Xenopus tropicalis: one gene and its partners. The protein of the gene in region 3 interacts with the protein of the main gene of each other region in a pairwise test. Links are inferred from orthologs where the notes say so. Each region holds a gene or a part of one and is shown on either strand. Other genes may lie near its edges. The genes, in order: speg, hnrnpr and prmt1.

Region 1 (3,172 bases), on a different chromosome or scaffold from region 3:
TCTTGAAGGTCACTGAGTGACAGGAGCTGAGGGCTGGCTTCCGTGGTACGAACGAAGGAGGACTTTGTGCTTAGTGGCTGTGTCTGCGCGTCTCCTCTGTTGCTCCACGAGGAACTCTTTGAGCTTGTTAGTGGTGAAGGTTAGGGTTTGGCGTCTAAGCTTCATTAGGTAGGCATCCTGGAGCCAGGGATTGGAAAAACATTCCTTAAGTGATGGGCGGCTCCTGGAATAATAATATAAATGGAAAAGTATGTTCAGTGTTTAGCTGTTGGACTTGGAATCCATTATACAGAATGACTATGAAGATTTTCATTCATCCAGGTCATGATATATCCAATATAAATAAATCTAAAGCAACTGGACTTGTTAAGTAATCATTGAAGATGTATCACTACTCATCCGAGCAGCTTATTCAGTTCAACTGACTGGGATGGGAAGCCCTCAGCATATGTACTCTCCCACTAATCCAATCATAATGGCCCTTCAGAAAGGTGACATCTGAAACTCACAGAGGTGTGAATTCTGTGGAGTTACTTTGAGAGGATTCTCAAGTATCATGCAACTTTTTAGAGTGAATGGATGTGTGAAGAGTTCTGAAACGCCAGGGTACAGATGTTAGAACAGCATTGTATGTAGCAGACAGATGGTGTCGAAGTCCCCCACCTCTGTTTAGGGATGGTTTCTCCACTTATACATAAGCTGAGAACTTCCCATACCAGTTGAACTGAAGAAGCTGCTCGGATGAGTAGTGAAACGTCTTCAATGATTACTTAACAAGTCCAGTTGCTTTAGATTTATTTATATTGGACATTATACAGAATGTTCTGTGCGTTGTATGGAGAACAGAGACCTGTGGAAATTCTCTTAGTGCCGAGCAGGGGACTCACAAATATCTTTTGCTTGATGTGAGTGTGTTAGCAAAAAAGCCTATAGGAGTACTTACTATAATATAAATATTTAATATCTAATATGGGACTAAGACTATCAAATCTTCACACAGAGATTGGGGCATTGGAGCAATAAGAGGGGCCTTTGCCACAAACACAACTCAGAATAATAAAGTCACACACAGCTACTAACCAAGGATATATAGTCAGGATCTTGCGAATGAAGAGGGAAGCACTTTGGGAGGCGTTGGAATACAATTTAAAGATATCAAATCGTCCCGACAAGATCTTGTTCTCGGTTTCCACGGGGTCCAGCTCAAAGAACGGAGAGCGGCCGCTGAGCCTGCACCGTGGGAAATACAGAATGGAGAATTGTGGGAAAGAAGCAGTTTAAAAGACAATTGATATATTAGCTGGAGCAATATGTCCTGATGCAGCATTGCTTTGGACTTTGCTAAAGCGTTTGATACAGTACCTCACAGAAGGTTAATGATCAAATTAAGGAATATTGGCCTAGAACATAATATTTGTAATTGGATAGAGAACTGGCTGAAGGATAGAGTACAAAGAGTGGTTGTAAATGGAACATTTTCTAATTGGACCAGTGTGGTTAGTGGAGTACCGCAGGGGTCAGTCCTTGGGCCTTTGCTTTTTAACTTGTTTATTAATGACCTGGAGGTGGGCATAGACAGTACTGTTTCTATTTCTGCTGATGACACTAAATTGTGCAAAACTATAAGTTCCATGCAGGATGCTGCCGCTTTGCAGAGCGATTTGACAAAATTAGATAACTGGGCAGCAAACTGGAAAATGAGGTTCAATGTTGATAAGTGCAAAGTTATGCACTTTGGTAGAAATAATATAAACGCAAACTATCTACTGAATGGGAGTGTGTTGGGGGTTTCCTTAATGGAGAAGGATCTGGGGGTTTTTGTTGATAACAAGTTGTCTAATTCCAGGCAGTGTCATTCTGTGGCTACTACAGCAAATAAAGTGCTGTCTTGTATAAAAAAGGGCATTGACTCAAGGGATGAGAACATAATTTTGCCCCTTTATAGGTCCCTGGTAAGGCCTCACCTTGAGTATGCAGTGCAGTTTTGGGCTCCAGTCCTTAAGAAGGATATTAATGAGCTGGAGAGAGTGCAGAGACGTGCAACTAAACTGGTTAAGGGGATGGAAGATTTAAACTATGAGGTTAGACTGTCGAGGTTGGGGTTGTTTTCTCTGGAAAAGAGGCGCTTGCGAGGGGACATGATTACTCTGTACAAGTACATTAGAGGGGATTATAGGCAGTTGGGGGATGTTCTTTTTTCCCATAAAAACAATCAACGCACCAGAGGTCACCCCTTTAGATTAGAGGAAAGGAGTTTCCATTTGAAGCAGCGTAGGTGGTTTTTCACGGTGAGGGCAGTGAGGCTGTGGAATGCCCTTCCTAGTGATGGGGTAATGGCAGATTCTGTTAATGCCTTTAAGAGGGGCCTGGATGAGTTCTTGATCAATCAGAATATCCAAGGCTATTGTGATACTAATATCTACAGTTAGTACTAGTGGTTGTATTTATAGTTTATGTATGTGAGTGTATAGATTGGTAGGTGTGGGTTAGGTGTGCTGGGTTTACTTGGATGGGTTGAACTTGATGGACACAGGTCTTTTTTCAACCCTATGTAACTATGTAACTATGCTTGTAAGAAAAGCAGTTAATAGAAATTGTGATAACAAATACTTACATTATGTAAGTCAGAACGCCTACACCCCAAATATCAGCTGCTGGGCCTACTGCGTCACCTTTGAGCATTTCGGGGGCTGCAAATGAAAGGCACAGGGTTAGGAACAACAAGAAATGTGCAAGAAAGGAAGACGACAACCAGACAGGCCAATCAGTATGAGTCTGGCCCCTGGGCCAATGACTGGATCCTAACGTGGGCCTATAAACCAATCACCAGCGTGATCCTCGCCTGAGGGCATTTCCAAACTTGGGCCATCAAAAGGGCCCCAAACACTGGGCAATTTTTCACTGTAATCATTTATAGGCTACTATACTGGCTACTTTACTATATACCTTTGGGCCAATACAATAATCACAGCCCAATAACGCAAATAAGAATTAACTACACAGGAAACTAGGGAACTGTCAAGAACCTATAGGGAATCCACATGACACAAAGACACCAAGGCTACGCACACATATATTCCAGGGTCCCTATGCGTTTGCCGAGGGGTCGCAGGACCAGCGGTGTAAAGTTCTGGGCACTCCCCAAATCGATGATCTTGACAGTGTTCATGTA
Region 2 (4,327 bases), on a different chromosome or scaffold from region 3:
AATAAGCACCTGCTTTAAGGCCACTGGGAGCAACATCCAGGAGTTTGGAGAGCAACATGTTGCTCACAAGCCACTGGTTGGGGATCACTGATCTAGAGCAACTGGACTTGCTGTAATGACCGAAGACATTTCACTTCTCATATGAGGAGCTTCTTCAGTTTAATTGAATATTATGGGAAGTGCCTCGGCATATAAATTATATTCTGAGGTCTTCTCGTACCAGTCAGTTGAACTGAGAAAGCTGGGTTTTGTGGAAATAAGTTTAAAAAAAACTATGAAAATCAGAATGCTAAGAAATCTGCCTCAGACTCTTTAGTCCACCAACCTCTTGTTTATATACACTTTTAGAACATGCTTTTGAGTATTCATTTGTACTTTTTTCTTTTTGAATTTTTTTTTAATTTCTTATTTAGGCCATGGATGAAATGAATGGAACAGAACTGGAGGGGGAAGAGATTGAAATAGTTCTTGCTAAGCCACCTGATAAAAAAAGGAAGGAACGACAAGCAGCACGTCAGGCTTCCCGGGGAAGTTCGTGAGTATATTGAGATTTTTGAGTAAACATTGTCAACTGAAGCAACTGAAAGGTCAAGCTCTGGATGTTTTAACTAATCTATAAAATTCATGCTGGCATGAACTGCTAGTTCACCAATTTTTGTTGTTTTTTTTTTTTTATGTTTTTGTTAGTAATAATTTTAATACAAATGTCAATGTATCTCGTTAGACTCAAGCTAGAGCCTAATTTTTCAGTTTGGATTTTTCAAATAGCAGTATTAAAAAATTCTTGTGTAATTTTCATTTGTGCCTTTACTTTGCTTTTGTAGAATTGTTTTCAATCTGTCTGCAGTTAAACCTAATTTTTGTGTTTTTTTCTGTTTCTCCTATAACTTATATTTACCAAGGCTTAACTTTGATTTTTATTGTGCCTGTACTTGGGCAGATATTGGGGGTGACATGGACATATTTGGCTTAGTTAGCAGCATGTTGGCTTGTGAATGGAGTCAAAACTTTTGCCTTCCTGAAGAATATCTGATTGTGACTTTATTTAGTCACAATATCTGATTTAGGATAGAAAACCACAAGACTCCCAGGATGAAATCATTCAGTGGCCAAGGGTTAAATGACCGATAAGCCCATCTGGCCCTTGTTGAGTTGGGCAGGTTGCTTGGGGCATAAGGCAGCATTTGGTTTTTTCAATCAGCCTCCTTATAAGAATTCAAATGTGTTAATATATTAAAAATGGTATGAATATGTATTTGTAAAATGCTTTAATACTACTTTTTTTTCCCCCCCATTCATTAGGTATGACGATTATTACTATTACCCTCCACCTCGAATGCCACCTCCTGGTAGGGGCAGGGGCCGTGGAGGCAGAGGGGGCTATTCCTTTCCCCAAGATTACTATGGCTATGAAGATTACTATGATGATTACTATGCATACGACTATCATGACTACCGTGGGGGTTATGATGATCCATACTATGGCTATGACGATGGCTACCCTGTGCGAGGAAGAGGAGGCAGAGGTGGGAGGGGTGGACCACCGCCCCCCAGAGGTAGATCTGTTCCTCCCCAGCGTGGAGGGCGCTCCAGCTATGCCCCTAGAGGTTCTCCAATGGGCCCTCCTCGCGGATCCCGTGGTGGACGTGGAGGACCCGCTCAGCAACAGCCACGAGGGCGAAACTCAAGGGGCAGCCGTGGCAGCAGAGGTGGGAACGTTGGTGGTAAAAGAAAGGCAGATGGTTATACCCAGCCAGACTCAAAGCGCCGCCAGACCAACAACCAACAGAACTGGGGGACCCAGCCTATCGCCCAGCAGCCATTGCAGCAAGGTGGTGATTATACTGGTAACTATGGTTACAGTAATGACAACCAGGAGTTTTATCAGGATACTTATGGGCAGCAGTGGAAATAGGCAAGGTCATATTCTTCAGACAAAACACACATACACCCACTCTTAAATATATATTTCATATATATATATTTGTGCTTTGGGAACTCTGCCTCTAATTTTATTGGCAGTGTTTCATCATTAAGCTGTATATACCTTAGTTTTTGCTTTATTGCTCTGTTACAGTTGGTATTCAAATGGAATGCACTGGTAGAGTTATGGTATTTTAAGTATTGCTGAACCTTGTGTTCTGGATATGGGGATTTGGAGAGTATTATGGGCATAAGTCAGCAGTTAACTAGAGCATGTATCCTGTATTTGGGCTTTTCTTTCCCATTCCACCCCTGTGCAGAAAGTTTTTGTCTGCTTATATTTAGAGAAGTAACTTTGTGGCATTGTCTTCTATACATGGACTGCAATGTTTTTTGTGCTATTAAGTCATTTTGTTTAAAATAATTGGTTACAACCCCTCCCCAGTTCAAGAATACTAAGGATTACCAGTGTTTTTAGTGGTTTTTAAACTTTTTTTTTTATTATTATGTGAGGGGTTTTAATGCTGTTGGACAATGTTCAATCATGATTTTGACAGGATGCAGTATTGACAATTTCCCCTTGGATTTGGAGTATCTTCTACAGGATTAAGCTGTATATAACACTAGTGCTGTCTTAAGTAAAAAAAAAAAAAAAAAAAAATTAAAAAAATATTTTAAAGATTCATGTATTAAATGACTGTGCATTTTGGATTCCTAGAACTAGGTGAAGTTGTGTTTATTTAATTTTTTTTTATGAAGGCAAAAAATATGCCTAACAAGTTTGGCTTGGGTAACAAAAGCCTTGACCGTTTGTTCTGTGACTGTATTTACAAATTTATTGTTCATGTACAATTTCAATAAAACTCCACAAAATCCTATTGCAAAAAAATTCTAAATATACATATATATGAAGTTAAAAGAATCATTAAAAAACAAAAAAAACAAAAATGCAAAAACTGAGTTGTGATTCTTGCAACAAAAACTTCCAAAAGACTGAACTGCATATGTGAGTGATCAAATCTGTAAACTACAAACTTAATCCATGATATAAAGCTATGAAAGTGGGTTTTAAATTAATAATTTGTAAAATCAATTAAATACACTTGGTTGCCAAATTATCTTGATCTTGATGTGCATTTTCTTAGGTGGTTTGAAGGCAAAAGATGAAATTGTATACATTTTATATACATATATGCATATGACCTCAATCTACATATTGATTGAGAATGGGCTTTTCCAGTAATTTATGTTTGATTAATCTGATAATTTTTCTGTTTTGAATTTTCCCTGTGCACACCCACAAAACAAATAATGGTTTTAATGGTCTAGAAGACCAGACTACACTATATACAGACTTTAGAAGACAAAAATTCTACATTTCTTGATAATTTCTGTTAAAAACAAACTGGCTCATAAAACCCTCTTAAGGTTTGTATACTAGTATCCACTAAAAAACCAAAATATGGTTACTTTTGCTGTCAATATGCATCAGCGAGGCTGGTAGAGCAGTTATTGTAAGGTATCAAGGTGTGGCTTACAGAATATAGATGATCTCTCCACACTTACATCCAGTAACACATTAGACTGCCTGTTTCCAACAGTGCTCAGCTACCTTCAATAGTAGTAGTTTTTAGGGTACATATAATCGTACTCTCTGCTACAAAATTCTAACACCTATAAGTAAAGTTGTTTTTCTTTCCAGCATTTTTATGGAAAGATTGCTTTCCCCCCTTTTGTTTGGTTCTAACGTCTTTTTTTCTTTGGATATTTTATTTGCCACCCTATCTTCATAGCATTGCCTTGTTTGTTATATAATGATCACATACTAAGATTTTGGCAGATGACCATTTTCTTAGCTATTAACATGAAGAAAATTTGATCAAAATTACCAGGATTTAATTCTTAAGGCAACAATAGTGGCTTGTTGCCCACAGAAGGGTGTCTCCTCCTGTGGTTGATAAAGCGTCCGGAAATACCTTGTAAAACACTTTACATATGTTTATTAAGCCATGATTAAGCTGAGTTTTTGCTTGCAAAATATACTTACAGTGGTCCCCATTCTTCTGCATTACAGGGTATTGTCAGACATTTTTTTTTGCTGCAGGAAAGACTTAACTCCCTTGGATGACAAATGAATGTCATTGCTCTAAATGTCACAACTAGATTCTGGATTCTAGTGTCCATTCTAGTATTAAAAATAGGAAAAAGCAAATCCTAAAATGTCAAGTGCCAATAAATAACTATTTGTCGTTTTAAAATTTTCGTGACTAATTTCTTCTGTGCTCCAGGGGGCAAAAAGCTAAAGCTAATCATTTTAATGTTTTTAACAACTGCATACAAATCATTTGCTTCAGGCAAAATGAGCCTTGTGTGAAATTGAACTTGTTTACCAGTTTGATTTTGT
Region 3 (4,417 bases):
GGGCTCAATGGCACTCTGCAGCTCCAACCCGGCCCAAGGAAAGTCTCCCATAGGGCTCAATGGCACCCTGCAGCTCCAACCCGGCCCAAGGAAAGTCTCCCATAGGGCTCAATGGCACACTGCAGCTCCAACCCGGCCCAAGGAAAGCCTCCCATAGGGCTCAATGGCACTCTGCAGCTCCAACCCGGCCCAAGGAAAGTCTCCCATAGGGCTCAATGGCACTCTGCAGCTCCAACCCGGCCCAAGGAAAGTCTCCCATAGGGCTCAATGGCACTCTGCAGCTCCAACCCGGCCCAAGGAATGTCTCCCATAGGGCTCAATGGCACTCTGCAGCTCCAACCCGGCCCAAGGAATGTCTCCCATAGGGCTCAATGGCACTCTGCAGCTCCAACCTGGCCCAAGGAAAGTCTCCCATAGGGCTCAATGGCACTCTGCAGCTCCAACCCGGCCCAAGGAAAGTCTCCCATAGGGCTCAATGGCACTCTGCAGCTCCAACCCGGCCCAAGGAAAGTCTCCCATAGGGCTCAATGGCACTCTGCAGCTCCAACCCGGCCCAAGGAAAGTCTCCCATAGGGCTCAATGGCACTCTGCAGCTCCAACCTGGCCCAAGGAAAGTCTCCCATAGGGCTCAATGGCACTCTGCAGCTCCAACCTGGCCCAAGGAAAGTCTCCCATAGGGCTCAATGGCACTCTGCAGTTTGGGAACCTATTATTTGGCTTAATTTCAAGGGAATGTTCACCTTTGCATTTAGTTTTAGTATATAGACCTGTTTATGATAAAAATAACTAGCTAAAACCAAATACCAACTAATGACCCTTATCACCAATGTGCTAGTGACTACCTGCAGTATTGCCAATGGGTCAGGCTGATACTGCTGAGGGCACTGGAAGCAATTTCTTTCAAATAGTCTACAAATGCATTTGTTTATTAACAAAAAAAACTTTCCAATATATAGATTATATTTTACATTATAAATATTGGAAAGTTTATGTTTTTTAATAAACATTCATACATTTCTGGGAAGCCTTTACTTTACCCTAAAGTATTTTATATCTATCTGTTTAATTCAGAGTATTAGCAACCAAAACAGTAGAGATGTGATGCACTTTACAGGTTTCTGCTTTCATGGAATCTTATGACTGGAGAGGACACATTGGACAATAACATAGGCATGGAGTCGTGTGCACAGATTTGTCAGCTCACTTTATACTGATAAGGCTTATATTGAGTCCAGTTCTTCCTCGGAGGATATATGTGTGATTTCTGTCATATAACCCAGGCTAATAAAATATTTTTTCAAGAATAGTATTGTGACTCCAGTACCGCTCGGCCGAAACTCGAACTACTAAAATTAAGCTAGCTCAACATACAAAGACTCCATTTTATTACGCAATGTTTTACGTTTTAAACAAACTCACCAATCAGCCAAGCGAACGAACTGACGGGCGGAGCCCTCTGCCAGTGAGTGGGCCAAGATTTATAGAAACTGGCCAATGGGAGTACGGGGATGGGAGGGGGCGGATCAGTTTCGCGAAGAAAGGCACAATCTGCTCTTGTTGAGGGGTAGAAAAAAACGCGCGAAGGACGCCGGGGCGGTGCCGTGTGTGGGCGGGGCTTGTGCTTCTCTATATAAAAGGCAAAGGGGCCGAAGCGCATGTCGCAGTTCTCTCGTACAAAGCCGGTGGCGTGGCTTTGAGTTTCTTTTTTAGATTCGTGAGAGAGACTGACAAACATGGCTGAAGCGAGCACCTGCAACATGGAGGTAACTAGCCGAGAGAAGAGCTATGGGGAGTGGGTGGGCTGTGCGCTATAGCCGAGCGCTTTGTGAGGCCACTGCGGCCTTTTAACTCTTTAACACTCTACGCTCTCAATGGCGGCGAACTAGCACATCGCCCCATGGCCGCCCCGTTAAATGGCTGGAATTTGCTCACTTAGGGCTTAAACGCCGCAGGGCCTGGGTCTCTGTTGAGCGGTTCTGCAGAACCCCTAGGGTGCCGGGGAGGCGATAATGCTGTAGTACAGCAGTGACTCGTCCTTTTTAAAGGGATGTGGTATAATGGCGGCTAGGAGCCTCGCACACGGGCGTCCACTGCGGGGAATTTCACGCGTGGGGAGATATCGTGACGTAAGTAGCGCGTCCGTGCTGAGAAGCCAGCGGCCACGTGTTCCCCAGGCGATGCCCCGCCCCTAGCCCCGCCCACATGCCGGTAGCACAAAGCCGGGCCTGGCTGGAGCCGGAACACGTGTGTCCCACGCCGCGCTCTTCCCACTGCCCACGGCTCGCCATTCTTCCTGCCGGCTTGTATCGAGCAGTCTCTCAGTAATGGGGTGGGCCATGGCCGCATGCTAACGGCTCCCCTTGTCTCTTGTGAGACATGAGATTCTAGTGTCCCGCCATTCCTCCTGCTCAGTGGGGGGGGGGGGTCGATCCTAAACCAACTTCATTTATTTTATTCGACACAACCATGTGTTAGATCGCTTTTTGTAGATTCTCTGGGACTGTGCTAGAGGGTTGATGGGTAAAGGGCTATAGAGGGTTTGTTCACCTGAGTTACTCAGAATGAGGTAGAGTGTAATCTGAGAATTTGCAATTGGTCTCTTTTGTTGGGTCTTTTAACTTCAATTTGTTCAACATTCCAGTTTGGAATTCCAGCTGCTATTGGGTTGGTAGGGTTCTACTAGCCTTAGCAACCAGGGAGTGGTTGGAACAAAGGGCAGGGATATGAATTGTAGGTCTGAATAGTACGATAATCAGTGAAAAGTAATACAATTGTGGCCATATAGAGCAAAGATTCTTGGGATCTGAGACCCACATCTGAAAGCTGGACCGGTTAGAAGGCAAATTTAGAAACTATATATAAAGCCCCATTGAATACATGTATGTAGCTCTGGACTGGGTTTTAAAATAGGTTTTGGTATTTAAAGTACAGTAGCCCACTGAATAGTTACGGTTTATGGTATTTTAAAGCGGCTCCTCTGGAATTGCCAGATTGGTTGTGTTACATACATATGCACAGATACCCAGATACAAGACCTCCGGCTGAGTGCAATTATTAAAGGTCCTGGAACTCCATATTCTGATCTATTTTATGGTGGTGCTTTTATATTGAATGCTAATTTTGGTAAGATTTGGCAGACTATTTACTTTCCTAGATTTACTTAAATTTTCATTTTGAAGGTGTTAAGATGTGTGGGGCTGAAACTGTTCTACATATTTGATTGTATAAGCCTTACAAGTTGCATCTGTAGACTTGCTGTAAACTAAGGGGCTTGACCTAAGCTCTGATGGCCATTGGCTTACTGATGGTGATTAGCAGTAGTGATTCTGTAACCTTTGACCTGTTAACTTTAAAGGGGGCATTGGCTAAATGAAGAAAAAACTGATTTTGTAGGCAATTATGAATATTTGGGGCTGGCTTTACTTTTATTGGAGCTCCCTATAGATCCTCAGGTTCCTGTCAGTGCTTCAAATGAGGGGTAGGCGTGTCCTTAAGATCCCTGCCAGAAGTACAGTAATGGGGAAATAGGCAATCACAGTCCGGCAGTCACACAAGCAAAGGCTTCAGTTCCCTATCAGGTCAGCCAACCTGATGGGAAACCGATTGGTTCCTATCCTACAGTGCAGTGTACAGAGTGCTGCCAGCCCCCCTTCACATCTAGTGAAACAGATGGGCAGGACTATTAGGGTTTTGGGGGAATCTTTCAATCAGTCCAAGACACAACTTTTTTTTTAGCACAATCCTTCTGTATTTCATAATTTTCACATGTTTCCTTTAAAGCTGTCTGAAATTAGATGCTTGGCTGTTGCTGGCTTGACCTGTGGCTAGCTTAAAAACAAGTTACATTGTGAACTTTTCCATGTTACTTTTTTCTAGAACTTTGTAGCCAAGTTGGCCAATGGAATGAGCCTGCGGACTCCAATAGAAGATGTAAATATCCTTTAAATTTTTGGCTAGTTGTGTTTTGGCCAACTTGGCTTTAGAGTTCATGTAACAAATGCCATTTCACTACATGGTACTGTGGTGCAGTGGTGTTACAGCCTGATTAAAGAAGTAAAGGTAAAAATCCCAACTTGCATGCACAGGCTGGTGCCCAGGAAGCTTGTTTCTGAGCACCCTGCCGCCATGCTTTTCTGCCCAAGTGCACATGTGTAGTACAGTATATCTTGGACTCGCTGTGCTGCTCATGGGATGCACCATAAATAGGATAAAAATGTTGGGGCTATACTCCTGTATTCATGATTACTGGACTCGGGCACCAGCTTCATGAGTAGAATTACTGGTGGTCACACCTCCTAGTGATTTTTACCTTTACGTCTCTTTTTAAAAGTGACTTATACCTATACTTTTTTCAGGGTGCTGAATAAAGTTTCAGACCAGTTGTGAAAGTAGGTAACTTTTAAGATTGCCATGTTTC

Evidence for each region.
Region 1: the proteins of prmt1 (region 3) and speg interact in binary tests that used the Homo sapiens proteins (3 or more experiments, as listed by UniProt). The two-hybrid records come from large-scale screens. The link is inferred for Xenopus tropicalis from reciprocal best matches to the Homo sapiens genes PRMT1 and SPEG.
Region 2: the proteins of prmt1 (region 3) and hnrnpr interact in binary tests that used the Homo sapiens proteins (3 or more experiments, as listed by UniProt). The link is inferred for Xenopus tropicalis from reciprocal best matches to the Homo sapiens genes PRMT1 and HNRNPR.

What each region holds. Positions count from the first base shown.
Region 1 is NC_030685.2:83,596,439-83,599,610, forward strand, and holds part of speg (striated muscle preferentially expressed protein kinase), read right to left. Parts: coding exon 3,070-3,172; intron 2,691-3,069; coding exon 2,615-2,690; intron 1,231-2,614; coding exon 1,081-1,230; intron 224-1,080; coding exon 10-223; 3' UTR 1-9.
Region 2 is NC_030678.2:82,754,806-82,759,132, reverse strand, and holds the end of hnrnpr (heterogeneous nuclear ribonucleoprotein R), read left to right. Parts: intron 1-413; coding exon 414-535; intron 536-1,302; coding exon 1,303-1,915; 3' UTR 1,916-3,784; downstream 3,785-4,327. UniProt on the Homo sapiens protein: Component of ribonucleosomes, which are complexes of at least 20 other different heterogeneous nuclear ribonucleoproteins (hnRNP). hnRNP play an important role in processing of precursor mRNA in the nucleus.
Region 3 is NC_030683.2:111,004,440-111,008,856, forward strand, and holds the start of prmt1 (protein arginine N-methyltransferase 1), read left to right. Parts: upstream 1-1,584; 5' UTR 1,585-1,733; coding exon 1,734-1,763; intron 1,764-3,876; coding exon of another isoform or gene 3,877-3,930; intron 3,931-4,417. UniProt on the Homo sapiens protein: Arginine methyltransferase that methylates (mono and asymmetric dimethylation) the guanidino nitrogens of arginyl residues present in proteins such as ESR1, histone H2, H3 and H4, FMR1, ILF3, HNRNPA1, HNRNPD, NFATC2IP, SUPT5H, TAF15, EWS, HABP4, SERBP1, RBM15, FOXO1, CHTOP, MAP3K5/ASK1, MICU1 and NPRL2.